4 linked regions of the Lytechinus pictus genome follow. The protein of the gene in region 4 binds, or shares a complex with, the protein of the main gene of each other region. Links are inferred from orthologs where the notes say so. Each region holds a gene or a part of one and is shown on either strand. Other genes may lie near its edges.

Region 1 (7,810 bases), on a different chromosome or scaffold from region 4:
TACAATTTCTCTAAAGATTTTGGTATCATCTGCATATATTCGGACTAGACTTGTAACTATCTCTGGCAGGTCATTGATAAAAATCAAAAATACTGTTGGCCCGAGGGCGAGGACACTTCCCTGCGGTATTCCACTCTTTACTCTACTCCATTTTGACATCTGGCCATTGATAACAACTCTCTGTCTACGCTCCGTCAGAAAAGCAGTATACAAAAGTCAATAGTATTAGTCATGTTAGTATAGTAGCCTATATTGGCTAAGCCTAATTTATTAATATTAGTATTATTATACTAGGCCTAGTAGTAGCACTCTAGGCGACACCCCAATACTTACCCGTGCTAATAAACTGGGACTCCACTCACGCGCATTTGGGCCGCCCTAGCTTAGAACTAAGCAATATTATCTAGAAATTGTTACATTGTAGTCATTAAATATGTTCTATTAAATAAATTGATAATGTTTAATCGGTACTCACCGGTTCTTTTGTTGCATTTTCAGACCATTTCTCACAATTCTTCGTAAATATTTGCGGCAAATTTTGTCGCCATAGACAGCTTAGCATCCATCTTTATTGATAAATGGAGCGCCCTTTACGATAGTTGTTAATGCCGCGGAGAAATCGTTAGGCATTTTGGCCTGTGTTCAAGGCGTTCTTTCTGTTTTATTTTTTATATTGAAGATTGTGCATTTGTTGAATAGCGCCGTCTACGTCAGGTATGAGATCGAGTGTATAAATACACTCTTCCAAAATAATTATGATTCCGACCTGGCGCTGTTTAACTTCAATCTCTTTCACCTAAATTAGCGATGAATGCTAGCATTATAAAATATATATTATTAACGTCTGACGAAAAGAATAACCAACCGATCAGCTGACGAGAACGCGAATCACGTGATCTTCATATCAGCTTCGATCGCGAGTCAGAAGAGAAGAGCAGCTGCCCAGAAAATCAGGAAAAAGCCGTGAAAATGTAAGTTCCCCTTCATTTCTTTCATTTTTTTGTTGTTGCTAACGATGCATTTACACTATAAAATTATAATTTAAATAAGAGAAAGGAATATAGCTTGTACTTGTGATATAATATATAAATATCCTGTTCTCAGAGATTTCTAACCAAAAATACTACTGATGTCGCCTATGAGGTCCATACATGTAATGTTGGACCTCATTGGTACTAGGAGTGAGTAGTAGTATGGTAGTGTATCCTATTGCCGGACACCTTTATTTCAGTGCTTTAAAAATGACAACTAGAGGAAATACAATCAAGAAAAATTCGCACTTGCTATTCCAAATATTATGAAAATTATTAATATGATAAAATTATTTTATATTTACCAACCATTTTCTTTGCATCGCACTTGCCGCATACCCCTCCACGAAAAACAATTATTTTCGTGCGCGACAAATTACATCATGATTCCGGACGCGCTCCGGACGGGTAAAGATATCCTTGATTATAATGATGTGAGAATAAATTTCTGTGATTTCTTTCTTCTTATATCATATCATGAATAAATTCTAACTTTTTGTTTGCTTTTTTTATATCGAATCTGAGCAGATGTTGGTAATAAATTCGTGTTTGATAACTTAATTTATTTTTTATTTTTTGGTTAGCTGCATGTTTCATGGCACTTTCCAGTGTTCGTTCGTATCGTGACGCTCATCAAGTTCTATCGATGCGCAGCCGATCGTCGACGGCTCTACTCACGGTAAACCTCGCGCACGGTACCTTGAGAACTAGCTGTCGACGATCACCCACAATACACCTCACCTCATCATTCGATCGAAGGAGCCGACGAGATTGAAATTCGGCAAATCAGGCCCATATTTCCGTAAGAAAATATATCAATTCATTCAATTGTTAATGCAAAACTATGTTATATGATATTTTAAGCATTTTCTGTCATTTTAGAGATAAATAAGGTAGAAATTTGATTTTTTTTCGCCTTGTTTTTGCAATCTTGTTCTATGTATTGATCTGTGAAAATGAATTGCGGAAGTCTTACGGTACGAAATTGTTTTCGAACGCATTTATATGCGCGTCCGGAATCACAATAGTGTCCGGTAATACAATACGTGACTATACTATTAGTATTACAAAACCCATTTAGAATTTTACCTTTCAAGTAAAACTAAAGGTATCCAACTTCGGCCAAAATATTCTGCCTCCACCTGTCGTTTACCAGAAAAAACACGAAACATTGAAATTTCAGTAGTGGTTTGAATAATTATGTTGTTAACTGTATGTCTGGCATAAATTCCAACGTTGTCGTTATACTAACACTGTAACAGTTAGAGTAGACCAAAAGCTTCGGTCTCTGTTATATTGGTTGTTCAGCTGAACTCCGTTGGCTTCACTCACCAAATACAGAGACCGAAGTTCTAGCGCGATCTGTACAGGGGACTCAATGGCCATATGTTTATGTACTTAAGATCGGATAAAACGGGGAAGTGAATTTGCGCGACAGCCGAGGTAAGTCACTGTTTTTGTTCCTTTTAACTTGATTTTTCTCTGTTTAGAGGGAATATTAATTTGCATTTTGGTCGCGTTAATTTTCAAAATTTTTATTCATTAAAGACAAAAATTGAAGAGCCCCGACGGGGGGATTTTGCATTGCAAGTCCCCTAATGGTGGCTGCACGCTAGCGAGCCGTCTGTGTACGAGGAGAAATTAAAAAAAAAAAAAAAGTTAAAAAACTCCTCGAAACAGACGGCTGCCAGCTGTCTACAGTTAGAGTAGAGCAAACATAGATATGAATTAGTGGGACAACACACAGGCAACATTCAACAAGCAGAGTGAAGCGCGAGAGCATTTTGCCATTCCGCAAACGTTAGTCAAGTTACAGTTAAGCAACCAAACTTTGATTTAAAACAAAATACGGCACAATATAGCAATTACAATGCTGCTGATCATTATGTTATCACTTACCTCAATGATAAACTCATATTTCCTATTTTCTAAATTCAATTTTCAAAACAACTTCATGCACAAAATATTAACAATAGAGGGCGCATATTATATCACAGCTGAGGAGCTAGGCAAAGGTAAACAGGGACTTACCATGTACTAATAATAATAATAATATGCAACATTTATATAGCGCTTAATACAAATGTTTCTAAGCGCTGCATACTATTACCCCGGCTTTAGCACGGCTACCCTGATCGGGCGCATCGAGCATTCAAGGAATTCCTTCCTACCGGGTACCCATTTACTTTTTTACATGTACTACCATACAGTAGTACATTTACATGTACTACTACTAGCTCATAGGCCCGAGTTAGAAAAAAGCATGGAAAAAGTGAGTGACTGTCCCGGGGGGGGGGGGCAGTCAAATTTATTGCTGTAAACACGCGTGACCCAAAAAAAAACGCGTTTAAAGGGGTGTTTTTCAGTTTTGGACGCGGTACGCGCGTGGACTCGTTAAGGGCAGCGGCGTAACAGGGGTCGGTGGCCTGCAGGGGGGGCAAGGGCCAAAAATTTCCCGGTCATATCATGGTATGAACAGGCGTTATGGTGTAATGAGGCGACTATTTTGAGAAGGCCATATATTGCGTATCAGGCAGAATTTATCTTTTATTTGCATAACATTTAGCCCCGCATTTAGCAAGCTTAAAGCACAATGTTGTATGCAGTCCATTAGCTTTTGACTAATTACATTCTACCTTCGTTTCCCGCAATTGTTTGCCATTTTGTCATCTTTTAATTTATTTCCCACTCTGCTATTGCATTACATAGGCCTATTTCGGAATGATTTGCTCTTTCTCAGATGTTCTTCTTTCGTACATTTTTCCGCTTTCCTTCCTTTTCCATTTAAAAAAAGTTTTTTCTTCGTTTTCTTTTCACTTTTCCCTTTCCTTTTCCTCCTTTCCTTTTCCCCTTTCCTTCCCCTTTCCCTTTCTTTCTCCCTCTTTTTTTTTTATTTTTCCCGTTTTTCTTTTATTTTCCCGGTGAAATCCGCCAGGGGGGGGGCAACTTGCCCCCCCCCCCCCCTGCCCCCCGCCTGTTACGCCACTGGTTAAGGGTATCAAAAACAAAGTGTGGTTTTGAAAGACTGGTCAATGGTCAATCGCGGGGTCAAACGTATATAGGGTATGTTTTTCCCCCCAAAGCTTTTTATCAAGACTAGCCAAACGTGTTAAGAGTAGGTTTTTTCCCAAACTTTTCCCCTAGGTCATATTTCGGCGACATCTTGTTTAGGGGACAAAATGTGTAAATAAAGCCCGCGAAAAACTTGTTAAGGGGGTTATTTTGCACACATAGAAAAACTCGTGGAGTGTTTGGAAATTTCTTGGTCACGCGTGTGTACAGAAATATATTTGACTCCCCCCCCCCCCGGGATGACTGTCTCTTGCTTGCTTAGAATGTCTCTTCTGTCTCTTCTAGAAGAGACATTCTAAGCAAGTTTTTGATGACGAGCATATGCCCGGAATTATCTTAACAAACAATAATATATTTGTTTTGTTTCTTTAGATTTAGACCTAAAAGCGGGATTTTCAAATCATGATCAGGAAGGATATCGTGCTCAAAGTGATGAAGCACAAAGCGAGTTGAAAAAAAAACTTTCATATTTCGAACTCAAAACTAGACATTCTAGAGTACTTTGAATAGTATCAATGAGCAGGTGCAGGTGTTTCATAAAGCGACCGTTCGTAAGATAAGAGCGACTTTAAGAACGACTGGTGATCCTTTCTTTTGGTAAATGCTATACACCATTGACAATGGTTTAGCGCGTAAGAAAGGTTCACCAGTCGTTCTTAAAGTCGCTCCTAACTTACGAACAGCTTTATGAAACGGCCCCCAGGATAGGTACATAAACAAACAATACGAGCAAGATGCGGAAGCTCAAAATTTGAATTTTTCGACCTAAAAACTAGACTAAGCTGCGTGTCTCAATAAACATGCGTGCGCGTGTTTTAGAGTTGGACAGAATCTGGGCATTCTGAATACTTTTTTTTTAATTCTGAAAATCAACAAAATCAACAATGAAAATATTTGATATTCTGATCAAAATGGTCAATTTAAGCACTATTTCAAGCTCTGTGTAGGAAAATTGCAAAGTGGATGTGAACGCACTTAATAAATGATGCGAGTGCGAAGCGCGAGCTGATATTTATTATTATCATTTTGACCTATATAGGTCCGGGACATTCTAAGGACATTTTTTTATTAGAAAGTCAAAAGGGGCCTAAGCTTTCGAGAAATTTTGTTATCATATGACATTGATGAGACATTGATGAGTAAGCGCAGGATGAAACTTGTCTATTTTCTATTCTGAATAAGGAACAGTTTAGTAATTAGGAATTCATGAACATGTTATTATGTTTATTAATCAACGAGAGAGTGAAATTTGTTGATATTGAAGCCTTAAAACTGGACATTATTTTTAGGTACTTTTGTAATTTGAATAGGATGCCGGCATAGGTTAACACAATATTTTTATTAACAACATTATTAATGCGAGCGCAAACCGTGAGCCGAAATTTTTGATAAACTGTCATAAAAAGTGAATTTTAAGTGGTTTGTTATAGAATTAATATAGAAGTATACATAACTCACCAATCAAAATGCGAGCGCACAGCCCAAGCTCGATAGGCCTATACGTTTTGACAATCAAACACCTGAAAATTGATATTTTTAGGACTTTGTGGAATACACGAAGAGAGTAGTTACTTGGCAAATCAAATAACACGAGCGCACAGCGCAAGCTGAAAATGTTGATATTCACACCAAAAAACGGACATTTTACAGAGCACTTAAAAATAATTTGTGAATCAAACAAAATAATGAAAGCTCGGTGTCCGAGCTGAAATTTGTTTTTGTATATTGACTTCAAAACTTTCACTTTTATCCCCTTTTTTTGCCGGGTCTCTGGATCTGCCCATGGGTATTAAATAAAACAAGGCGAGCGCGAAGCGCGAGCTTAAATTTCTTACATTCTTGCATTAAAGAAACCTAATAAGGACACCCAAGGACTTTTTGCAGTGATGAGGTTAATTTTTTTAACCAATATGATTGATTTGAGCGCGAAACAAGAGCTGAAATTACGGTGAATTCAAACCTGACCACTAGACATTCTAAACATGTTTTTGATGAAGAGCAGGTCTGTACCCTATTAAACAATGCGAGTTCGAAGCGCGAGCTGAAATTGTCGATGTATTGACCTGTTAAGCATTGTTAAAATGTAGGGAAATTGTGAATGGATCTTATTACATAAATCATGCGAGCGTGAAGCGAGAGCTGACCTTTTCTTCTTCTTTTGTTTTTGGGGGGCGATTTAGACCTAAAACCTATACATTCATCACTGTCGATACAGAACCGCGAGCTGAGTTTTTTTTTATTTATTTACTTTTTATTTAGACCTAAATCCTGAGATAGGCTAATACATAGAGATCCTCACATTCTCATTGCGGAAAAAAACAAATAGTGTGCAATTTGACAATTACCTACAAAGATGGTGGAACTCAAAGACCAAGTATAAGCCCTAATTAGAAAACGGTACATAAAGTAGGGCCTATAGTTAGAACTTAAAACAACCCCGTCGTGACTCGACAGTTTATAATTTTCTGTCAGGCGCCAGGCTTGCGCTTGCGTAACAGACAGGGAGTTTTCGCAAAATGACGGGGACGCATGCTACAAAATAGGAAATCTGTTGTCAAAAACCCTTCAGGACAAAGCAGCCTATGTCGAAAATCGATGAATCAAAAGAGAAGATTCGTCCTGTAACTCTGGACGAGCGACATAATATTTGCAATAGTTCATCAGCTCAGAATCTCAGTACAACGACCACTCTGCCCCGGTTTACCAATTTTAGACATAAACCTCTCAGCTGTTCATTGTGATTTGACGGGAGTAGATTTCTATGTTGTAGAATCCGCCCCCGTCGTGATAGCGAAAACTCGTTCATATCGTTTTGTCAAACGGACAACATCTCAGGCCCCGACACATTCACTTATTCCTCAAAACCTCGCCCACCATATCCCTTTTCTATCTCCTTCCTTTCGTTTTTCATTTCATTTTCCTTTTGTTTTTCTCTTTCTCTTTGCCCCTTTCTTCCCTGCTTTCTTTCCTTCTTTCTCTTCGTTTTCATATTTTATTTCCCTTTTCCCTTCCTTGATTTTTTTCCCTCTCGCCCCTTTTCTTGATTTTCCAGACGGGACGCGCAGATTTATACAGACAATATTCATGCAGACTGGGGGGGGGGGGGGGGGGGGGGTGTTGCACCCACAAATGTAATAACGCCCACAAATGTAATAACGCCCACAAATGTAATAACATAACACTTTACCCACAAATGTAATAACGCCCACAAATGTAATAACACTTTACCCACAAATGTAATAATTTCACCCACAAATGTAATAATGCACTTTACCCACAAATGTAATAATTTTTGATCGCCCACAAATGTAATAATGACTTTACCCACAAATGTAATAAATTTGAAGGGATTTTTTGGCGAATCCGTTCTGAACTAAAATCCTACAGTAATGCGTTCATATAGCACAAAAGTGCAAAGTCTTTTTTCCAGACCCAGTTAATTAAACATTATAGTACAAGTCCAAAGTCTTTTTCCAGACCCGGTTGTTTCAAAATTATAATATACGTCCAAAGTCTTTTTTCCAGACCCGGTTGTTTCAAAAATTGTAACATAAGTCCAAAGTCTTTTTTTTTCAGACCCGGTTGTTTCAAAAATTATAATATAAGTCCAAAGTCTTTTTCCAGACCCGGTTGTTTCAAAATTATAATATACGTCCAAAGTCTTTTTTCCAGACCCGGTTGTTTCAAAAATTGTAATATAAGTCCAA
Region 2 (7,258 bases), on a different chromosome or scaffold from region 4:
AATTTCACTCACAGTCACAACTGAAGAAAAGGCAACGATGGCTTGGTCTATGAGGAAAAAGGATCCAGCTCTACTGGATATTCAGCATTTAAGGAATCCCTTTTCATTCCATCTTTTACTCTCCCAGAGCAACAATTTTCTTTACAAGTGATTTCAAGATAAGAGATTGATTGCAAGTCAGTCAAATCTACTGTGATATTTGCACAAGACCTTGTAAACTTGTCAACTGTGCTAAAAGGAAGGAAAGATATGGCGGTGTTGGGGAAGTGTGACATGGCAACACGAGCGGAACTTTTCTGTTCATAAGCATTCATTCTTCAAAGGAGTCCATTTTGATGTCAAGGAAATATTCATCTTTCTGAGGGAATGGAAGCTTGGAACCTCCTTCACAGATGTGCAGTAGAGTCGGGAATGGACTACAACAAATCGGCGGTGGATTGGGCAAACTTCCTCCGTGACCAATGCCGGAAATTTGTGAGGGACAGAAGTACTCCGAGGAGAGGTGGAGATTGACGAGAGCCATTTTGGATGGCATACCAAGTATCACCGCTGCGATCCGAGAGGATTGAAAATATGGATCTTCGGGATGGTGGAGCGGGGGAGTAACCGGATCATCGTATTTCCCGCACTCAAGCATCGTCACCGTCGCCAAACCCAACTACCACCAAGCGCCTGGCATCATCTCAGTTATCACCTTCCTGCTACTACTCACAGAGAAATAGACAGAAAGCGAAGAAAAGCAAGAAGACAAAGACAACTTCCAAGGAATCATTTGGAAGTTACGGCACCCTGGAGCATTCATTCCTGTGGGAAAGAAAGGCAAAGAGAAGAAAAAGAAATCAGAAAATCCATACAGGATGTCCAACTTTGTTACCTTGGAATGGTCGGATGACAGTGATTTCCAATAACCATGTTCTCTTGCTACACTTTGTTTCGATATTGGACTTAACAACTAAGCAATTATTTTGGGGTCTAGAGCGCGATTTAAAGCCCCGAAATTGATCAGGGTGCACAACTCTACGCGTCCGATATTTTGAAACTAATTTCCATTTACCATAATTTTTTTTTATTCTAAAACAATTTAATACAGTCCGACCTCTCTTATCCGGACACGTTGGGACCAGCACCAATCCAGATAAGGGATTTATCCAGATCTGGGAGACCCAATAAATATTAAATACACGCAGCTGCTACCTCCCCAACATTAATGGCTGTAGCTACATGTTATCTATTGTAGTGGGCATACAGACAGTATTCACTGCAGTGTCAGTGCAAATTATAGGCGGTATTTTTACGGAAATGAAATCGATCGATGGCCAAAATTGTTCGATAGTTTACCTGCTAAAATGAGTGAGGTATACATCGAGCATACCTCGAAATAAAGAAAATGACTCAATGAAAGTTTTACAATTAGATCATCGCGGCTATCGCAGCTTCGCAATGTCAGCCATTGTTATGACTGTAGGCTCAAACATGATAGATGGCGCTGTCCGTATCAAGGCCTAGTGTTAGCTAGCGAGACATGCGTTGTTTTTCCCGGGAAAAACAAAAAAAGAGAACGTGATAAAATTATCCTGCCCAAGTTCTTTCTGTGATTTTCATGAAAAATAGTGACTTAATGTTGTTGTACCGGTATGTAGGTAGACTATATTGGAAAATATATGTAATCCAAGTGAGTCTGTGTATAGGCCTACTATACTTTATAGGATTGAGTTTAGATTGAAATCTCATTTCCTAAGCTAACGTACTAGATTGAATTGAAAAAAAAAATCTTGGCAAGTGTGCGTCCAAAAATAGATCTGGATAAGGGGAGGCCGGATAATACGCCCTCTACGGAAATAAACAGTAGAGGCGCACAGCCAATATGGGAGACTCTCTCCAATAGGGGAGACAATCTCCCACATTGCCATTGGAGACTTGCTTTGCAAAAGGACAAAAGAAACAACACCAACAAAAGCATGATTTTTTCCACCCAAAATTTTGTCTCACTGAGGTCAGAAGCCCAATTGTTTTGTGTGTGATTGACAACAAAAATCCTTATCAAGACAAAAGTAGACGGTGAATTTTTTAAGTAGACGGTGAAAAGGGGTAATTTCTCATGAGGAATCTGCTTATCACATTTTTATTTGCCGCCAAGGTAATCCTTTTGCAGCAAATGTAAACAAAGGAAATTGGTCTCCAAAACTGGAGACTGTCTCTAAAATTGGATACCAAAATTCTTTACAAAAGTCTCTGATATTGGAGATACTCTCCCACATTGGAGATAGTCTCCAATATTGCTTGGGCTTGGCTGTGCACCTCTACTGATAAACGTCATCAATGATTGCCTTTTTGTTTTGGTCCAATTATGCTTAAGAAGTGTCCAACATTTTTGGGCACTATACTATATTCAATAATCAATATTTAAATGTAGACGTAGTTTACGATAGACCCCTCTAGTCGTCTAGAGACTAGACTATAGTCTATAGTTTCTTTTTCTGTCTCTTTTTTATAGGATTTACCGACAAGATAAACGTCAATCATGCATACTTTCTGCAATGAAGCGATGACTTGCCGTCGACCGTCTAGGCCTACTTAATTAATCCAGGGCCAAACGCAGTTCGGTATACGAGATTAGTAGAGCATACATACTAGCCTCGTAGTCGTACTAGTGCGAGTGGGCAATAGGCCATAGGGCCTAACTTACGTAACGTTGTCGTTAGAATCTAACGTCGTTAGTTACTAAGTTAGGCCACTGGCCGCAATTCGCAAGTAACAACAGTCAACACACATAAAAATGAGTAGGTGGGGCAACGCAATGACTGTCGGGTAGGCCTACCCAAAACTTAATAGATATCAAGAAATTCATGTAAATCAAATGTTCCACATTGATGAAACGAACCTTCCAAATATCTGCCATTGTGGTATCACCTGGCTCAACAAAAGAACCGGAAATACGGTCTGGAGGACGAACAGCTGATTCTTTTTTTCGCACATTTTTCTTTCCCGCCGCGAGTGTTGCCATTTTACTAGAAATTCGTCCAACTCGTTTGAACTGAACGTACCGGTACCACGCGTCGTGCGCTCGCCACGCTCCGGCCGTGCATGCTGAATTAAAAAGGGATCGGAAGCTTCTATTTAACTCTATGATCTGGGGAGCGTTTCATCAATATTTTCATCCGACAAGTTGTCAGGTCTGACAACTTTCCTTCATAATGATAGGATGAGAGGCACTGTTACCATAGTAACTGTCGGATAAAAGGATGGGGGGGTGGGGTGTCCGGACACTTAATATTTTTGAAGCCTTCTTTTTTGTCTTTGGATTACACTAAAAATACGAATTCAATAGTTGTAATCATCTTCTGTTTTGTTCTCTATAATATTACCTAACATTTCGTACTAAACATTTTATGAAACTTTGCTTGTAAATTTTTCCAAATGACTTTCTAAAACTGATCGTCCGGACACACAACCTGTCCGGACACACAACAACTGGGTATACTTGTCGGATAAGACAAGTCCTTTCATGAAACGCTCCACGGAAGTTACCTCAGCGTTCGTTGTAAAATAATTTTAAAAAGATCTAACGTTAGGTGGAGGTTTTGTGGGAAATCCATCAAAAATTATAAAAGTTATTAAGTTTAATGTTCAGTTTAACTTTTTATTTGTGAAGTCTTATAAACCATCACTACCTTCTCTGAGAAGTATAGTATTATTACATAAAAATAACTGTACATAATATAAAGTACGAATTGACCACTTCAATTTATTTTGCACTGGAGCCGTGACATATCATTATTTTTTGAAAATAGGTCTACCGTCTAGTCTAGAGTCTAGACGGTAGACCTATTTCAAAAAAAAAAAAAACGGTAGTCATGTGCGAACAGCTTTTGTCTAGACTCTAGACAAAAGCTGTTCGCACATAACTACCGTTTTTTTTTTGTTTTTACTCACCTTACAATAGAAGGCGTATACGGGGGACGGCTGGCAAAAAGGGAAAAGGAGAAAAGGGGAGAAAGAATTAAAGAGAAACGTAGCGGGGGAAGAAGAAATTAATTTGTAGATCATAGGCGGATCCAGGGGGGGCCGAGGGGCCCGCCCCCCCCCCCCCTATTGGCGCGGAGCAAAAAAAAGGGAAAGAACGAAAAAAGGGAGAAAAGGGGGGAAAAGAGAGGAGAAAAAAGAAGAGGAGGAAGATGAGTGAATAAAATATGATGAGGAGAAGACTTGGAAAATAAAAAGAATCTTTCATATGTCACTGTATAAAATTTTCGCTCGCACTTCGCGCTCGCAAGTTTGGAAGTGAATATACAAAACATACTTCACCTCGGAAATCGAACTTTCATTATTTTGTGTGATTTACAAATTGTTTCTAAAAAGTGCTTTATAAAAATGTCAGTTTTATAGTCTGAATATTAACATTTTCTGATCGTGCTGCGCGCTCGCAAATTTTGATTTAGCAGGTACCTATTATTTTCGTGTATTCCATAAAGTTGTCAAAATATCACTTTTCAGGTGTATTGTCAAAACATATCAGCTAGATTTTGATTGGCGAGTTATATATTTCTCAATATTGATTATACAACAAACAACTTAAAATCCCCTTTTCATGACAGTTCATCAAAAATTTTGGTTCGCGATTTGCGCTCGCATTAATGGTTAAAATATATTAACTTGATGCATCCTATATTTATAATTACAAAAGTTCTTGAAATGTCCAGTTTTCAGGCCATAATATCATCAGATTTCGCGCCCTCATTAGGCATTAATGAATGAGATATTCATTTAATAATTAAATTGTCCCCTTTGTTTCATCTCGCACTTAACAAGAGGAATAGGAAGATAGTCATCATTTTCATTTGCATATCCTAAGGATGTCCCGGTCCTATGTTAAAACTCAAAGTAATAATTATTAAAAATATCAGCTCTTTATTAAGTGCGATCCATATCCACCTCACAATTTTCCTACAAAGTGCTTTAAATATAGAGCTGAAATTGACTCTTTTTTTCAGATCGGAATATCAAATAGTTTAAACTCGCGCTTCGCGCTCGCTTTGATTTTCATAATAAAAAATGTATTTAGAATGCCTAGATTCTAGGTCTAAATATGAAACATGCGCGCGCATGTTTATTCAGATAGTCAACTTGTTCTCTATTTAAAGGAAAAGTCCACCCCAACAAAAAGTGGATTGGAATAAAAAGAGAAAAATCCAACAAACATAACATTGAAAATTTCGTCAAAATCGGAGGTAAAATAAGAAAGTTATGGCCTTTTAAAGTTTCGCTTAATAAGTTTCACAAAACAGTTATATGCAATCCTGGTTGGTATGCAAATGAGGGGACTGATGACGTCGCCACTCACTATTTCTTTTGTATTCTACTATATGAAATATTTTGATTTTCTCCCCCTTGTCATGTGAAATCGAGTTTTATTCCTTCCTGAACATGTTGAATTAACATTGTTTAACATTATGTGGTTCAGTCAAGTTCTACATTATTGTCAATTCTGTAAAATTTCAAATATTGTATAATTCAAGCAATAAATAGCAAAAGAAATAGTGAGTGATGGACATCATATACTCTCTCATTTGCATATCACTGAGTTGTGCATATAACTGTTTTGAGAAAAATACGCGAAACTTTCAATGTCACAACTTTCTTATTTTACATCCGATTTTGATGAAATCAGCATTATGCTTGTTAGATTTTTCTCTATTGATTCGAATCAAAATTTTTCTGGGGTGGACTTGACCTTTAAATCATTATCCAGTTTCAGATCACAATATAAAAAACTTTCTGCTCACGCTTTGTGCTCGCATTATTATAATGTAGGAAGGCCCCCTATTACTCATTCTTTTCATGATTTACAAAACATGAATAGAGTGTCCCGTTTTTAGGTCTAAATCTCGATTTTGTCCGCTCGCGCTTCGCGCTCGCATCAATTGTTTCGTTATATACCTATCTTGTTCACGATTACAAAAATTGATTAAAATTTTACATTCTTTACGTAGAAATGTCAAAATTTTTCAGCTCGCGCTTCGCGCTCGCATTATTTGAATGTTGAAATATGTAATGTCTTCATGACTAAGTGCAAGCAGTCCTTAACAGGTACATTTTCGATCAGTTCAAAACGTATATAAAAATGTTCTGCTGGCGCTTTGCGCTCGCATTATTAATGTAAGGAAGATCCCCACTTACTCATCCTTTTCACGATTTACAACACCTGAATAGAGTGTCTCGTTCAGTAGGTCTAAATCTCGAATTTTTCAGCTTGCCATTCGCGCTCGTATCAATTGTTTAGTTATATACCTATTCTATTTTAACAAAAAGTGCTTAGAATTTCCATTCCTTAGGTAAAACTGTCAAAAAATTTCAGCTCGCGCTTCACGCTCGCATTATTTGATTTTTAAAATATGTAATGTCTTCATGGCTAACTGCAAGCAGTCTTTAACAGTACTTTTTCCATCAGTTCGTTTTTGCTTGCGCTTCACGTTCGTAGTAATTATTAATTTGCATACACATCTTTTTCATGATAACATACATTGCCCAGAATCAAATATGTTCAAAATTTTAGAAAAAATACATAAGATTTCCAAAAAAATTTAGCTCGCGCTTTGCGCTCGCATTATGTGAATAAGGATTATGGTATTATATATTTATGTTTATTCATAAGAATAAAGCTAAGAAGTGACTATTAGGACTACCCCTTCAAAGAAACCAAAAATCCCGGCAAAAATCATCTTCGAGCGGCCGATCGGGGAAAATATGGCTGAAAAAAAAATTCCGGGCCCCCCTATTGGCGAAGGCTGGATCCGCCCCTGTATATTGGATCATTATGTTATTGTATTATAGAGCCCAGCTACGCCTATAATAACGTCACAAAACATAATTTGTTCTCGCATTGCTCGCATTGTCTGTTTATTGATCCTTTTGTTAAAACATCACGTTTCAAGTCAAATAGGCCTATTAAGTTATTTTTTTTTATGTAGTGACATATATACTTCTTTCTCATGCCTCGCCCCCTTTTGAGGTCTGAATATAAAACATTTCTAGTCGTGCTTATGCATGTTTGCATTAGTGCATGGATTGGCGAGATATGCTCTTCATGAATTCTTAAAAAACAGTTCTTTAAATTCCCCCCTTTCTGGCCTGAATGTCCAAAATGTTAAGCTTGCGCTTCACGTTCGCATTATTAAAATGAAATATGTATGGTCTTAGTGAATTCTTACAAACAATCCTCTTTACTACTTTAGGTCTAAATTAAAAAAAAAATCAGGCT
Region 3 (7,952 bases), on a different chromosome or scaffold from region 4:
GTAGTACATTTGTCAGTTGATGATATTTTTCTAAATAAAAGAAAACAAGTGACACTTACTTGTGTTTCTTGTAAAATAGCACTCCTTCAATAAACTTCTTCTTGTGATTAACAAGCTCCTCTTTTATCAATTCCTGAAAGACAACAGTTGAAAGTACAGATTTAAGGCAACAATTGTTTAAATTGCAAAAGTGCCCACACTTACATGATGGCTGATGTTGATATCTCCAACATGTATTCAAAGCTATGATGTTAGCAATTACCATTCTAAGTCTGAGGGGAATCTAAATATTAAACAGAATGGTAAATAAATAAAAGTCACTCTGCATCATTAAGTGCTTACCACATAAAGTGTGGGCCAAAAACATAGTATATAGATGGTTAAGCTCTGCTTAGATTAGCATTTGATCACTCTAAACAATTTGATACAAAGTCTTATCTTTAGGACAGAATAATATCTGACTGATAAATGCCGCTATAATCCAGATTACACACCAAAATAGCTAAACTTATGTGTAAACTGTTATCCTCTCTTATAATATTCCATTTATGACTGCTTTTCCAGACACTTTTTCCACCAAAAGTGCTCTTTATTGACATTAGTACCTCTTGTCCCAAAAGTATTTAAGAAAGCTCACCTCTGCTCGGATAGCTGAATGTCCACTTATTATCAGAAGCAATTCCTGACAAGAACTAAAAATAGAAAGCAAAAGGAAACCATTAGCAAGGATATCAGTCAATTTTGATCAAAAATAAATTTTGACATTTTTGCCAAAAATTAAAGTACAAGTCCTAGTCTATACATAAGTAAATTCCTAGGCAGCAATTTATTTTAGTTTTTTGAGATATGAGGGGATTTTCAAGGCAATGCCATTCAAAGATTCCATAAAATTCACAAATCCCATTTGAAACGTGTACTGTACCAAAGCAAACAACAGCTGCGTGCACTCAATATGCAATGCATGGTCAGCAAAATAGTTGTATCTGCATTACATTGACTTTGCACACAGAAAGAGGGATACAGCGTTTTGCTTGATCTCGCACATTAAAATCGTGGTCAGGGTTGTTTTCCTTATGGCGTTTTTGTACAGGGAAAATCTATATCGCTCAATCTGAAATTACAAGCATATAGCTCTTTTGCAATATTCTCTCATTCTTGGTTATGTGTAAAAATAAAATAATAATAATGATAATACATATTACTCAATATATGGCACTTTTCTCATAAGCCAAAGGCGCTGACAATGAAAATAATTAAAACTCTAAAACTATAAAACTGCAAACTACGAAAGAGATGGGTTTTTTAAGCCTTTCTGAAAATCGCTATTGATGGAGACTGTCTTATCATATGAGGCAAATTATTCCAGCACTTATGATGATGGATGATAACAAGAGTATGAAGATAAAAGAAGACAGTGAATTTTTCAAGTAGACATTGTAAATATAGTGGATTAATTTTTCATGATGTGAATTTGCTTAGAAAAGGCCCAAGCCCCTGTCGCAACCGTAGTTTGTAAACAAATAAAAATTGGTCTCCCAAACCGGACCTGAATGGGAGAGTCTTCAATAATATTGGACTTGTGTCTCCAGTAGGAGTGATCATATTTTCACGAATCACCAAATTAACCGTGTTGTTTCTGATCGAGTGATTCTTCTTCTATTTTTCCTCGTCTGCTGATCAAGTCCTCATTTATCCTCCTTCTCTTGATATAATGCTCCTCCTAGACCAAAAGCTTCGGTCTCTGTTATGTTGGCTGTTCCGCTGAACTCTGTTGGCTCCACTCCCCAAATACAGACCGAAGTTCTAGCTCGATCTTTACAAGACTCAATGGCCATATGTTTATGTATTAAGTTCGGATAAAACAGGGAAGTGAAGTTGCGCGACAGCCGAAGTACATGTGAGTCACTGATTTTCCCCCTTTTAAGTTTATTTTAAGTTTATATTTCAGGCCAAAACAGAATAATAATCGTTATTTTGGTACAGTTCTTTTTATATGTTTTTATGAAATAAAGACGAAAATCGATGAGCCCCGTCGATGAGCGAAGTTGGCTCAGTCGGTGAAGTGTCTGCCTGTCGAACCAAAGATCGTGGGTTCAAGTCCACCCCGGGCGGATTACTGAAGCCAGTACGTTGTGTGTAAACGTCTCTCCCCTGTTCCATAGATGCAGGCTATGTTACAGGGAAAACACTCTGTCCCTCGGATAGGACGTTAAATGGAGGCCCCGTGTAGAGGAGAGTCACCATCTTTGCACGTTAAGAACCCACTGCACTATTCGAATAAGAGTAGGGGGAAACCCTGGTGTAGTGGTCCACCTGCAATCCCCAATCAGATATCGAGAGGTGAGCATCTTCTTTCTCCGTGCCATCAACATCTGCGCACTTCCTGCCCGGTTGGCTCCTACTGTGGGGCGTTGGGCAGTATACCCAAAGAAGAAGATGGGGGGATTTTGTATTGTTAACCCCCTAATGGTGGCGGCATGACAGCGAGCCGTCTGTCACTCTGTGTACGACTACGAGTACGAGGAGAAATTTAAAAAAATAAAAAATGTAAAAAAAAATCCTCAAAACAGACAGCTGCCAGCTGTCTATGGCTATGCTCCTCCCCAATCTTCTCATCCTTCTCCTTCAAGAGACCTCCCCCTCCCCTCCTTGAAATTCAGATGTAGATCTAAGTTAGATCTAGCAAGCAAAACTGAAACTGAATTCTGAACATGCTGAAAGAGTAGATTATCACACAAAAGAAGACATGAATATCAATATGTGGGACAATGAATCATCAGGGAATGGAGGATGAGAAGCATCACCATTAAAGGCATTAGAATTCCGTGCATAAAAATAAGATTCAGCATGAAAAATATATCAAAAAGAAATCTACAATTTTGTAGAAGAATTCGTACAGAATAAATGAAAAGTAATGAATTTAACTTACGTCGTGAACACAGCCATGATTTCACTTTTTAGTCATCAATTTCATTCAATTCAATTCATCACCAAAGCAAGGTAAAGCCACTTCTTCGATCGATCGCACGTACATTTTCAACACGCAAACCTAGAGGGCCAGCTTCATTTTTTGCCAGTCTTGTATTTATATGGTGGCTCAGGGGTGACCCGACAATTGCTCCGCCGACATCTGCTCCGCCGACAATTGCTACGCAAAATACGACAACTGCTCCGCCGACAATTGCTCCGGACAGTTGCTCCGCCGACAGTTGCTCCGTCGACACTTGCTCCGCCGATATCTGCTCCGCCGACATCTGCTCCGCCGATATTTGCTCCACCGATATTTGCTCCGCCGACATTTGCTCCGTCGACATCTGCTCCGCCGAAAATTGCTCCGCCGACAATTGCTCCGCCGATAATTGCTCCGCCGACTTCTGCTCCGATTATACGACAATTGCTCCGCGATAATTGCTCCGCCGACAATTGCTCCGCCGATATTTGCTCCGCCGACATCTGCTCCGATTATACGACAATTGCATGAACATCTTATTTCTCCAAGTTGGTCTATGTTTGAAATGATAAGAAATTCATCCTGATACAAATTGTTTTGTTGGTTTTTTTTCTTGTTATTCGTTAATGTTTTATTTATTTTATTCTCCCCTTATCATCACAGCTTTCTGCTTAAAAAAAACCAAAACAAATCGTTCTCCCTGCCGCTGCCACTTGACAAATTGTAACGGAGAAGGGGAATGACACACTCCCCATTGAAATTGTGAATCTGGATTTTTGTTCATATATTATTATCATTGGTTTCACTCCGGTCTTGAGCGGGGAGAGAAATTGGGGGGGGGGATGCTGGACACAATATCTCTTCTGCTTTCCAGCAACTTATACACCAATACATTCGCACGGGCTCTCTCTCTTTCTCGTTTTGTTCTTTCACGCTGTTTATTTTCATTGATGACCGCTTGATTTATTGTATATTTAGCAGCATTATAATTATTAATATTTTTATCAATAATTTTTATTTACATCTTGGGCCTTATCTACCCTTGCACCTTTTTTCTTTCAATTTGTTCCAAACGAAAGTATGATCATCACTGGCGTACAGATGGGGGAGGGGTGTGCTAGGGGTCACGGATCCCCCCCCCCCCCCATTCTCCCTACCAATGAAAAAAAAAATAAAGGAAAGGAAAATAAATGTAATCCTTGTCTGGCCCCCTCCAATTGTTGTTGTTGGCTCATTACGCTACAGGTGAGTTACTATAAACTAGACTTCGGTTGTATTTTTGTTCTATTCTGTGCAATAGCGACAATATAAATATGTTTTAATAAATGAATATATGTATCTCTCTCACTACGTCTAAACAAATAATGTTATTTTAAAAGACAATAATATACATACCAGTAATAATATAGTTACAAATTCATGAAACCCGATACGCATTAAACTAAATTTATAATGCGAGCACAAAGCGCGAGCTGTTATTGACCAGGAAAATTGTAAACAATGAAGCATATCTCGAGGGGGAGATATCTCATAGTGAGAGCGCAATGCGCTAATTGAATATTTTTGATATATTTCAGAAAAGGGACATTTTGTGATCGTGAACTTGAGACATATTTATGGAGTGGACCAAGCTTTCGCCACTAGGGTTGGGGGGCCGGGTGGAAAAAACATTTTCATCCACATTTTCGCCGATCAGCCGCTAAAAGCGGATTTTTTTTTTAAGGGTTAGTCCTAACTAAAGACTAAAGTTTAAAGTGGAACCGTCGTGATGTGGTGTAGCGGTTCGGGCTCTTGGCTTGTACTTAAACGGTCGTGTTTTCGAATCCCACCTTGGTGTAGCATCCTTTGGCAAGTCGTTAATCCACACTTTGCCATTCACAACCCATGTGCTAAATTGTAAGATGTGAAAGTCATTGTAGCTTGTCCTGCATTATGTGCGCCTAATCGGTGACAGGCTGGATTACTCCCCAGGGAGTGGAGGATGTGCATACGTTGTGTGCGGGAATAGCTGATTAAAATGATGACCGGGGTGATAAATATGTAAGCGCTTAGATACATACCATGTCTTAAGCGAATTATAGATAACCAGATGACTGTTATTATTATTATTATTGTTCTTAATCATTATTATTATTATCATTGTTATTAGTAGTAGTTGTATTATTTGTATCATATTTTATTCTCCTTCCTTTCATTTTTTTTAATATTTCAAAATATTTTGATATCCGTTCCAGAAATTAATCAAAAGGATATGAATCTTGCCAATTAAATTATGGAGGAGCTAAGTGAAACTTTTTTTCATAGGTTATGAAAACGGAATATAAAAAAACACACACACAATCATGTTCCGTATCTTACTAAATAGCGCGATATGCAAGCTGGGATTATTTATAGGCCTACTGGTCTGACGCTCACAGTGGCATAATGAGCCAAAAATGGCTGATGGAACAATAGTTCTAAAAAGATGCGAGCGAGCGAAGCGAGCGAGCATATTTTTTGACATTTTTAATACAGAAATCGAATTTTTTTTTAAAAGAGTTTGACTTAATATTCAGAAAATAATATACCATTTCACCCTTTCCGTTTCATTTTCTTTCTTGTTCATTTTCTTCTTAGGCGGCCATATACAGATGAAGGTATATCATTTATAGAAGAAAATCTTGTTTGATTGATTTGTTTTATTTTGAAACTACATGTAAAATTATATATATCCCCCATCAACAACAAATTGTTACTTACATTATAACATCAGAATGAATATAATTCGACTATTGGCGGACCATATGGATTTTATTTTTTAATTTAAAAAAAAATTAAGTATCCTTTTTCTATCAGTGAAGAAAACAATCATGATCAACATAAAACAAAAAAGCAACTCACTATTATATATTATCATTATCTAAAAACCTACGGTGTATATGACATGATGTTATCAATAAAATGAAATTTCTTTTACCACAATCCTCATTATTTATGCTTTATTCGTCATTGATTTTGCCATACCTGAATTACGGTCTCTTGATTTGGGGTAATACCCATCAAACGTTGATAGAAAATATTTTTATACTGCAAAAGAAGGTTATCCGGATTATTTGCAAGGCTCCAATACGCTCTCATACTAATTCTTTATTTTTCTTTCGAAAACAAGATTTTTTAAAATTAAGGATTTATATTCATTTCAACTAGGTCAGTTTATGTATCAATATAATAGCAATGATTTACCTATTGTTTTTATGACATGTTTCATAAAAATGAGAGCATTCATAAATACCCAACTAATCAATCAGATGAATTCCATTTACCGCTTTTCAGGACGTTCAAAGTCAAAAATACTTTCATTTATGAAGGCCCAAAATTTTGGAATTTCCCTTCATAACGACTTAAAGAATTCCCCCTCTCTGTACACTTTTAAAAGAAAGTTAAAATCTTTCTTACTGAAATCCTATAATCACGTCTAAAAAATACATCATCACATATTTTTATCTTTAATCACCGTTCCTTTTCACTCATGCGCTACGTTGCTTCTGTTTGTCTACACTCCTCTCCCTGTAGTTCATTATGCAGTTCTCACATTCATTCCCCACCCCCCCCCCCCACCCCTTCCTCTCTCTTTCTCTCTCATTCATCCACTTTCTTTCTATACAGTATAGAAAGAAAGTGGATGAGAAACAGTAACTGTTTCTCATTCCTGAGTTTTTTGCGTAATTTTCGTATATTTTGGTTATTAAATATTTTCTTTTAATGATGTCTCCTGTTGGTAATCATGGTTTATATTTTGATTTGTATATATAAATTTATTTCTCGCATGTCATATTTTGAGGAGCCCACAATATACAAGCTTTGCTTTTAAGTGGGATCCTCCATTTTCACAAATTATAAATCACAAATCCTTTACACATGATTACTTTGTATGTAATTTTCTTATAAAACGTCTTTTTCAAGTTGATTTTATGACCTTGTTATATTTTTTTATGATGTTGACTTGTTATGATTGTATTTATTTGATTTATATTTTGTTGAAAATTAAATAAATGAAATTAAATGTGGATGTGGAGACCAGAGCACTGTGTATACGAGAGGATATGGAAACCAGATTGGAGGGGTGTGCCGAGAAGGTGACACGACATGTAGCGTTTCACAAGTTGGTATTTTCGTGAATATTAATTTTTAATTACTGAATGTCTTGGTCATGTTTGTGAGGAACAAAATTTGCCGACAGTAAACATTTTGCGTGACTAGAGTACAGGTTTTCGACAAAAAAGGTGGGGTACCGTTGAATTTCACCTGGAGCAAATATCTCCACTTCGGAGCATATTTCGCCAGAGCGATTTTGACGCTAAGAATGGGGTATATCTAAGTTTTTTTGTACTATTATAATAATTACATGAAAACGCGTATTTTATTTTTTCATTCTAATCACCAGGCACGTGATAAAACTTACACAAATGCTCCCCCCCACCATGAATAAGAATTAATAATATCTATCCCTCCTTTGTGCTTACCCCTTTTTTCTATTTCTTCCTATATATGCATGTATCAGAATTCAGGAGCCGCGGAACCGTGGGGCTTCAGCCCCCCACTTTTTTCCAAAACCGTGTACAAAAACGTAAAAATGACCATATGATTGCGATTTTTAGCATGGTCAGCCCCCCACTTTAGACTCATGCAGCCCCCCACTTTAAAAACCGTTCCGCGGCCCCTGTGTATGCCATGTAATATATCATGCAAGCATTATCGGAGCAGTTTACAGCGGAGCCATTTTCGGCGGAGCAGATGTCGGCGGAGCAAATATTGACGGAGCAGATGTCGACGGAGCAGATATCGGCGGAAAAATTGTCGCGGAGCAATTTTCGGCGGAGCAGATGTCGGCGGAGCAATTATCGGCGGAGCAAATGTCGTATAATCGGAGCAGATGTCGGCGGAGCAACTATCGGCGGAGCAATTGTCGCGGAGCAATTGTCGTATAATCGGAGCAGATGTCGGCGTAGCAACTATCGGCGGA
Region 4 (7,000 bases):
TTTCAAATTCCGATATCTAGAAGTCGAGTTATTGTCATCTTTGTGATGAAAAAACAGGCCTTTTTGTGGACAAAAGAAGATTGCGAAATCTTATTATTCTCTTTGTTTTGGGCATGGCACATTTATAATACATAGCTTATGGGGAATTGTACAAGCTTTTTATTTAAATCTTAAAGTACTCAGATTGATTTGACATATTGGCATATGATTTCTTTGGTTCAAGGGCAACTACCCCTGGACGATAACCCCCCACCCCCCCCACCCTCGGACAATTTCCCTCCCCCCACCCCCACCCACCCTGGACAATTACCCCCCCCCCCCGGACAACTACACTTTACCCCTATCCAAAAATCTACACCTAACCTAACCCTATTTCGGGGGTAATTGCCCTGTGGTAGGTTTGTGCACAGGGTAAACATGACTTGATATTGATTTTCTTTGCTTGAACATTAGAAATTAAGTTTTCAATGAATATAATTTGTAATCAAAGAAAGAGAATTAAAATAATAATCTTAGGATTTCTAGAAAAAAATAAAAACAGATTGATTTCAATTGTCTATTATCTCATTATTGTCTTGTTATTATGGTCTCAATAAAATTGTTGATATTATTATTGTCTCATCATCGTTTCATTATTGTCCCAATTAGTATTATAATTATAATAATTATTATTATAATTATTTTTGTTTCATTAATATTATTTTCTAAATAATTATTACAATTATAATTACTATCATAGTAATTATTGTTTAATTATTTCATAATAATAATTATTATTGAAATAATTATTAGTCTCAATAATTATAAGGCCTATAATTATAATTATTATTTTTATGATTATAATTATAATTATAATAATTTTTATAATAATAATTATTGATGACTTATCAATATTACTGTCTCAGTAATTATTACAAGTACAATTACTTTCATTATAATTATTATCATTATAATTATTTTATAATTATTGTAATAATAGTTATTTGTCTCAATAATTATAAGGCCTTTAATTATAATTATGATTATTTTTATAATCATAATAATTTTTATAATAATAATTATTGATGACCTTTCAATATTACTGTCTCAGTAATTATTACAATTATAATTACTTTCATTATAATTGTTATCATAATTATTTTATAATAATTAGTATTATTGTAATAATAGTTATTATTGTCTCATTAATTATAAGGCCTATAATTATAATTACTATAATTATAATTGTTTCTACAATTATATTTATTTTAATTATAATGATTATTATTATAATGATTATTATTGATATCTCATTAATATTATTGTCTCAGTAATTATTACAATTCAAAGTACATCATTATAATTGTTATTACAATTATTTTATTATAATAATGATTACTGTAATAATTATTATTGTCAATAAATACTAGAATTGATGTCTCAATAATTATTACAATTATAATTATTATCATTATAATTATAATTGTTATTATTATAATCATAATAATTATTATAATTGTCTCAATGTTTATTGTCTCATATTATTAATGTCTCATCATCACTGTTAATTGCCTCATTATTGTCTTCTCTTACTTTTTCATAATATCTTCAAATTAATAATTAACACCATAACAAAGGTCCATAAATCAGATATCAAATTCATGAAACACATCTCATGTATGTAAACCTATTTCTAAATTAAATTCATGCAAGGAGCTTTCTGTGCCATTCAAAAATACGACTTTCATTAACAATACCATATTCTAGACATTCAGACGCATTCCAACAAAAAATCACATATCAAACAAAATTCTTGAAGTTTACTTGCAGTTTTGCTCTTAATACTTATTTCACACGAATTCTACAAAATTATTTTCAAAATAACAATTTGATTTTCATAATTAACAGAGCTCAAATCGTAATTTAAAAAAATATACAACGGCTGAAACATACTGTGTCTGAATACCAAGACTAATCTCAGGCCCAACGCAGTGGGGATGACGTCACTCACAGCTGTTCGTATACGCTCAAAACAACCCTGCTCGATCGGCCGAGTCAGATTCACAAACACCTCATGACACTCAAAACTGAAGCTCAATTTGATTAGAATTTCACAAAATGTTCTCAAATATACAATTTTATTACTGACCGAGTTTACAAGGGATCCGATGATTACAAGGTGATTTCAAGCAAAGAAAAATAAATACCTGAATATTAGGTCCTTCCCTCGCATGAAGGTAAGTTAGACTCCGTCTTGTATATTTCCGATGTTTACCGAAGATGTACGAAGCAACCGCGGGAATTTTTGACCAATCAAAATCAGCGGAATAAAGGAAGAAACTGACTCTGTCTTTTCGAGCAATGCCGAATGCAACTCCAGCGCTCGGCCAAAGTGCCGAGCGGAGCGAACTGTGTGTGTTAGATAGGCGCTCGCCATTCACTGCAATGCAAAAATCTACGTCTAGCGCTGTGTCCGCGTGGTCGCCCGCCCGACTGAAGTGCCTAGTACCAGAAAGACAGAGTCAGAGAGGAAATGAAATTGGCTTCATATCGTTTGGTTTCATATCCAAACTTCAAAGCTTATCTTATTTTAAATAGGTAGGCCCTATCTATTTCAAATTTTTAGAAAAAAATTAATAAACTTATTGCAAGTGCCGTGCCAGTGGTTATCCTGTGCACGGCGGCGGTAATGTACCCGTGCCGTGGGTGGATCTTTCTCAGACTCAGATGTAACTGGCATCTTGCACACAAACATGAAAATACATGAATGGGACTACCATTTTCAATTACAATACAAAATCACGTTATGATGAAATAACGCGAATACCCTCTTACCTCTTGTGAATTTTTTGCTCTTTTCTTTACAGATTCGGCAAATTCGTCAGCCTCATGTTTGCTGCGATATGTTCGAGACATATCTGTTGATTAGATGCGACAATAAAACGATATAATCGCTGTAAAATTTCACATTTGAAAAGAAACCAAACGGCGGATGTGACCTTTTCAAACCGGTGCGCTTCAATCTTAAATGTTATGGTATCTTTAAGAATTAATTCAAATCAGACGGTTAATTCTGCGAGTAGCTGCCGAAACTTCATAATTCACCGTGAGATGAAAGGCCCAGGGGAGGGGATCAGTGGCGTAGCTAGGATTTTTCCCAGGGGGGGGGGGGCACTGGGGGGTCCTTGCTTTTTCAGGGGGGCACCATTTTTTCCGTTGTGTGTGTATGTGTCACAAGGGCGGATCCGACTTTGGCCAATAGGGGACGGGGCCCGAAATTATCTTCACCTATATTTCCCCCGATCAGTCACTTAGTTTTATTTTTATAAAAGAACATAAACATGAAATAATCTCATAAGCCTTATAAAAAGTGCAAGCGCGAAGCGCGAGCGATTTTTTTTGGTGTTACTTTCATGTATTTCGTCCTGAAAATGATTCTGGGCAATGTTATGTGTGATCCGTGAACAAGATTCGTATGTAACTAGATGGTTACTGCGATCGAACGCCAAGCGCGAGCAGAAATTTTTATTAACTGTTCTAGCATTATCGAAAAGGGACCTGTTAAGGACTGCTTACAGTTACCCACGAAGACGGTATATATTTCAATAATGCGAGCGCGAAGCGCGAGCAAATTTTTTTGACATTCCGACATAAAAAGTGGTCATTCTAAGCACTTTTTGTATTAATAAATGGGATAGGTATGTAACTAAACAATTGATGCGAGCACGAAGCGCGAGAGGAAGAAAAATTAGATTTTAGACCTAAAAGCGGGACACTCTATTCATATTTTGTAAATCATAAATAGGATGTAGTTAATTGGGTATCATTATTTAATGCGATCGTGAAGCGTGAGCATACAATTATTGATATTCTGATGTGAAACTGGATAATTTAAGTACATTTAATATAAAGAACATGCAGGCTATCGCACATGATTTAGATTTAGACCTAGAATCTGGGCAGTCTGAATACATTTTGTTTAATGGAACATTATGGAATACACGTAGACAATAGGAACTTGGCAAATCAAACAATTTGACCACGCAGCGTGAGCTAAAAAATGCTGATATGTAGACTAAAACAGGGACATTTTACAGCTAGAGCACTTAAATTTGTTCATGAAAAAAAATTGATGAAAGCTCGATGTCCGAGCTAAAATATATTTTGTACATGTATATTGACTTCAAAACTTGCTCCATATCAGCCTATTGAGCAAGATATGAATCTCATCGAACAGGCAATTCTGGCGCGAAGCGTAAGCAAAAGTTTTATATAGTAACATGAAAGATTTTTTTTTTTTTTTGCAAGTCTTCCCTTCACATTATTTCATTCACTCGTCTTCCTCCTTTTTATTTTCCTTTTCTTTTTTTCTTCTGTCTTTCTTCTTCTTTTCCTTTTTTCTTTTCTTCTTTCTCCCCCTTTTTTTTGCTCTGCCAATTTTTTCAGGGGGGGCACCTGGGGGGCACACCAAATCTCAGGGGGGGGGGCACGTGCCCCCCCAGGCCCCCCGTAGCTACGCCACTGGAGGGGATCGAGTGGCACACCTCTGTGGAGAGGGCAGGGCCCTAGACAATGGCGGCGGAAGCCCCAAAAATTAGGGGGGACCAGCACATTTTTTGACAAGCAAACAAAAAAGAAGGTTATCAACCAAAATTTTAGGGGGGGGGACCAACAACAAAATTTGACAAACAAAAAAAAAAAAAAAAAAAAGGTTATCAACTAAAATTTTAGGGGGGACATGTCCCTCCCGCCCCCCCCCCCGCTTCCGCCGCCTATGGCCCTAAAAACGATTTTTTTTTTTTTAAACAGGGGGTGCAGGATAAGCTTTGACTAGTTCCAAAAGGGGTTCTCATTATAAAATGAAGGCCATTTGGAATGATTTTTAATTTTTTTTTACTGGGGTGCTGGTGTGTAAATCATTTTATAAGCAAAAAAAAAAAGGTTTTGAATACATAATGGAGAGCAAATTGGTCCCGAGATTAGAGAAGCAGGGAAAAAAAGAAGAACAGAAAAGGAATTCACCACAAAAGAGAGGTCAAATTGGTCCCGAGAAATTTCAAAAGCAATTAAAGAAGAAAAAAAAAGGTTTCAATAAAAAATGAAAGTCATTTAGGTGACATTTCTCAATTTTTACACAGCTTCCAGAACACTTTGGGGCCAAGCCTATGGAAAATAATACACGCAGCACCCCTGAGGAAGTTATGTTTTAGCGGCATCCCCAGCACCCCCGCTTCCAAGGGCCATGCCATTTTGCATGGTCGATCACGAGAAATTTCGCTACAAAATGAAGGTGAGCTCAGCAGGTCTAGTGATCCAGGAAAAGTTTGACAAGCAAAAAAGAAAAAAAATCATTACAAAATAGAGGTGATTTTGATTACATAGCTGCATGCCTAACAAATTTCCAGGGGTCACTGCTCCCTATAACACGTACGAAGCACTCCCGGCACCGTTCGCTCAGTTCCAGAGAGGGCCATGGAAGATCGAGGGGGTGAGGTTCGGGAACTTATCCTTTCTTCATATTTTCACGTCATGGTGCCGTGGCCGAGTGGTCTCAGGCTCCTGGTTATACATAGAAAGTCCGGGGTTCGATCCCCGGCCGCGGCACCTATGCCCGTGAGCAAGGCATTTAATGTACAATGCTCTTCTATCCTGCTTTCAAATAAATAGAAATGCTATATGCATTGTTGGTAACTTGGTGTGCACTTGTTTAAAAAAATATCTTTACATTATACTTATAGTACCAACTACTACTCAATGACCCAGCTCATCACCCATGCCCCCCCCCCCCCGGAATAAAGAGAGAGAAAAACCTACTCAACTAGGCTTATATTTTATTTTTATAATAGGCTAAAATAGGCACCCATCAAACCACTACTGGATACAACAATACCAAGTTAAACAAGCTAAAGGAGGCATTGGCGGCGGAAGCCAAACAATTTAGGGGGGACCACCAAAAATTTTTGACAAGCAAAAAAAAAAAAGTTATATATCAACCAAAATTTTAGGGGGGACCGACAAAAAATTTTGACAAGCAAAAAAAAAAAAAAAAAAAATCATCAACGAAAAATTTAGGGAGGGGGGGGGGGACCGCCCCCACCTCAAATTTAGGGGGGGGGGTACACGTCCCCCCACTTCCGCCGCCTATGAAAGGAGGTACTGCCGGATTTTATGAAAATAACTAACAAAACAAATTCCAATTGATATTAGGTAGCAATGACATGGATCAGTGGCGGACCCTGACCCGGAGGAGACAAAGTATTGGAGGGGCACTGTATTGTTTGTGAACAATGCTGTGCCCCTCCAATGCTTTGTCTCCTCCGGGTCAGGGTCCGCCACTGACATGGATATTAGCAAAATATGTGTTAAAGGAATAAGTCATATAAGTGGAGAAACTAAGGATGCTTGAAAGAAAAAAGATGATACTATGCTTATTGTATATGGGTGTATTAATGTTTAGGTATATTATGTATGTGTGTGTATATTTATGCATTGATATGTATCTCGCATTTAACATTTCATCGAAGATTGGTATTTTTTGTTTCTTTTTTTTCTTTGTTGTTGTTTTTTGTTTTGCTATGAATACTTTGTTACTATGTTATGCTTATGTTGTATTAATTTTTTTCTTATGTTTCTTTGTTTTTGATGATGATCCTTCAATGTCAGGATTTTATATCAATAAACTTTTTTTGTATAACATACGCGGGAGGGGGGGGGGGGTATTGAATGAGGGTGCTCGTCAAAATATCCAAAAAGGGAGTCTAATTATAACATGGCTGGAAAGAAAATAAAACATATTCGATCAGAGATTAGTATGAAAGTTGCACATAAACTGCGACATTTTGCATGGTTGTGAAAGACTTTTCTTATTTGTCTGAAAATCTTGTACGGATAAAATGCTCCTCGTGAGAGGAGATTTTTTTGTTTATCTATTTATTATTATTTTTTTGGGAGAGGGGATGTCACTAACATTTAGACAGAAATTCGGGCCCCCTAAATTTTTCACCCCATGCACCCATGGCCA

What was found. The genes of interacting proteins can lie anywhere in the genome.
Region 1: RANBP2-like and GRIP domain-containing protein 8 (region 4) and centrin-3 share a complex: the UniProt entries of both Homo sapiens proteins name them as parts of the nuclear pore complex. The link is inferred for Lytechinus pictus from reciprocal best matches to the Homo sapiens genes RANBP2 and CETN3.
Region 2: RANBP2-like and GRIP domain-containing protein 8 (region 4) and nuclear pore complex protein Nup107-like share a complex: the UniProt entries of both Homo sapiens proteins name them as parts of the nuclear pore complex. The link is inferred for Lytechinus pictus from reciprocal best matches to the Homo sapiens genes RANBP2 and NUP107.
Region 3: RANBP2-like and GRIP domain-containing protein 8 (region 4) and nucleoporin NUP188-like share a complex: the UniProt entries of both Homo sapiens proteins name them as parts of the nuclear pore complex. The link is inferred for Lytechinus pictus from reciprocal best matches to the Homo sapiens genes RANBP2 and NUP188.

The regions. Positions count from the first base shown.
Region 1 is NC_087247.1:39,281,661-39,289,470, reverse strand, and holds the start of centrin-3, read right to left. Parts: upstream 3,025-7,810; 5' UTR 2,948-3,024; coding exon 2,931-2,947; intron 1-2,930. UniProt on the Homo sapiens protein: Plays a fundamental role in microtubule-organizing center structure and function. As a component of the TREX-2 complex, involved in the export of mRNAs to the cytoplasm through the nuclear pores.
Region 2 is NC_087256.1:7,090,034-7,097,291, reverse strand, and holds the start of nuclear pore complex protein Nup107-like, read right to left. Parts: upstream 3,025-7,258; 5' UTR 3,005-3,024; coding exon 2,882-3,004; intron 2,862-2,881; exon of another isoform or gene 2,849-2,861; coding exon of another isoform or gene 2,819-2,848; intron 2,669-2,818; exon of another isoform or gene 2,530-2,668; intron 1-2,529. UniProt on the Homo sapiens protein: Plays a role in the nuclear pore complex (NPC) assembly and/or maintenance. Required for the assembly of peripheral proteins into the NPC. May anchor NUP62 to the NPC. Involved in nephrogenesis.
Region 3 is NC_087259.1:27,653,701-27,661,652, forward strand, and holds the start of nucleoporin NUP188-like, read right to left. Parts: upstream 3,025-7,952; 5' UTR 2,947-3,024; coding exon 2,930-2,946; intron 693-2,929; coding exon 638-692; intron 134-637; coding exon 60-133; intron 1-59. UniProt on the Homo sapiens protein: Component of the nuclear pore complex (NPC), a complex required for the trafficking across the nuclear envelope. Required for proper protein transport into the nucleus.
Region 4 is NC_087260.1:25,315,405-25,322,404, reverse strand, and holds the start of RANBP2-like and GRIP domain-containing protein 8, read right to left. Parts: upstream 3,018-7,000; 5' UTR 2,896-3,017; coding exon 2,815-2,895; intron 1-2,814. UniProt on the Homo sapiens protein: E3 SUMO-protein ligase which facilitates SUMO1 and SUMO2 conjugation by UBE2I. Involved in transport factor (Ran-GTP, karyopherin)-mediated protein import via the F-G repeat-containing domain which acts as a docking site for substrates.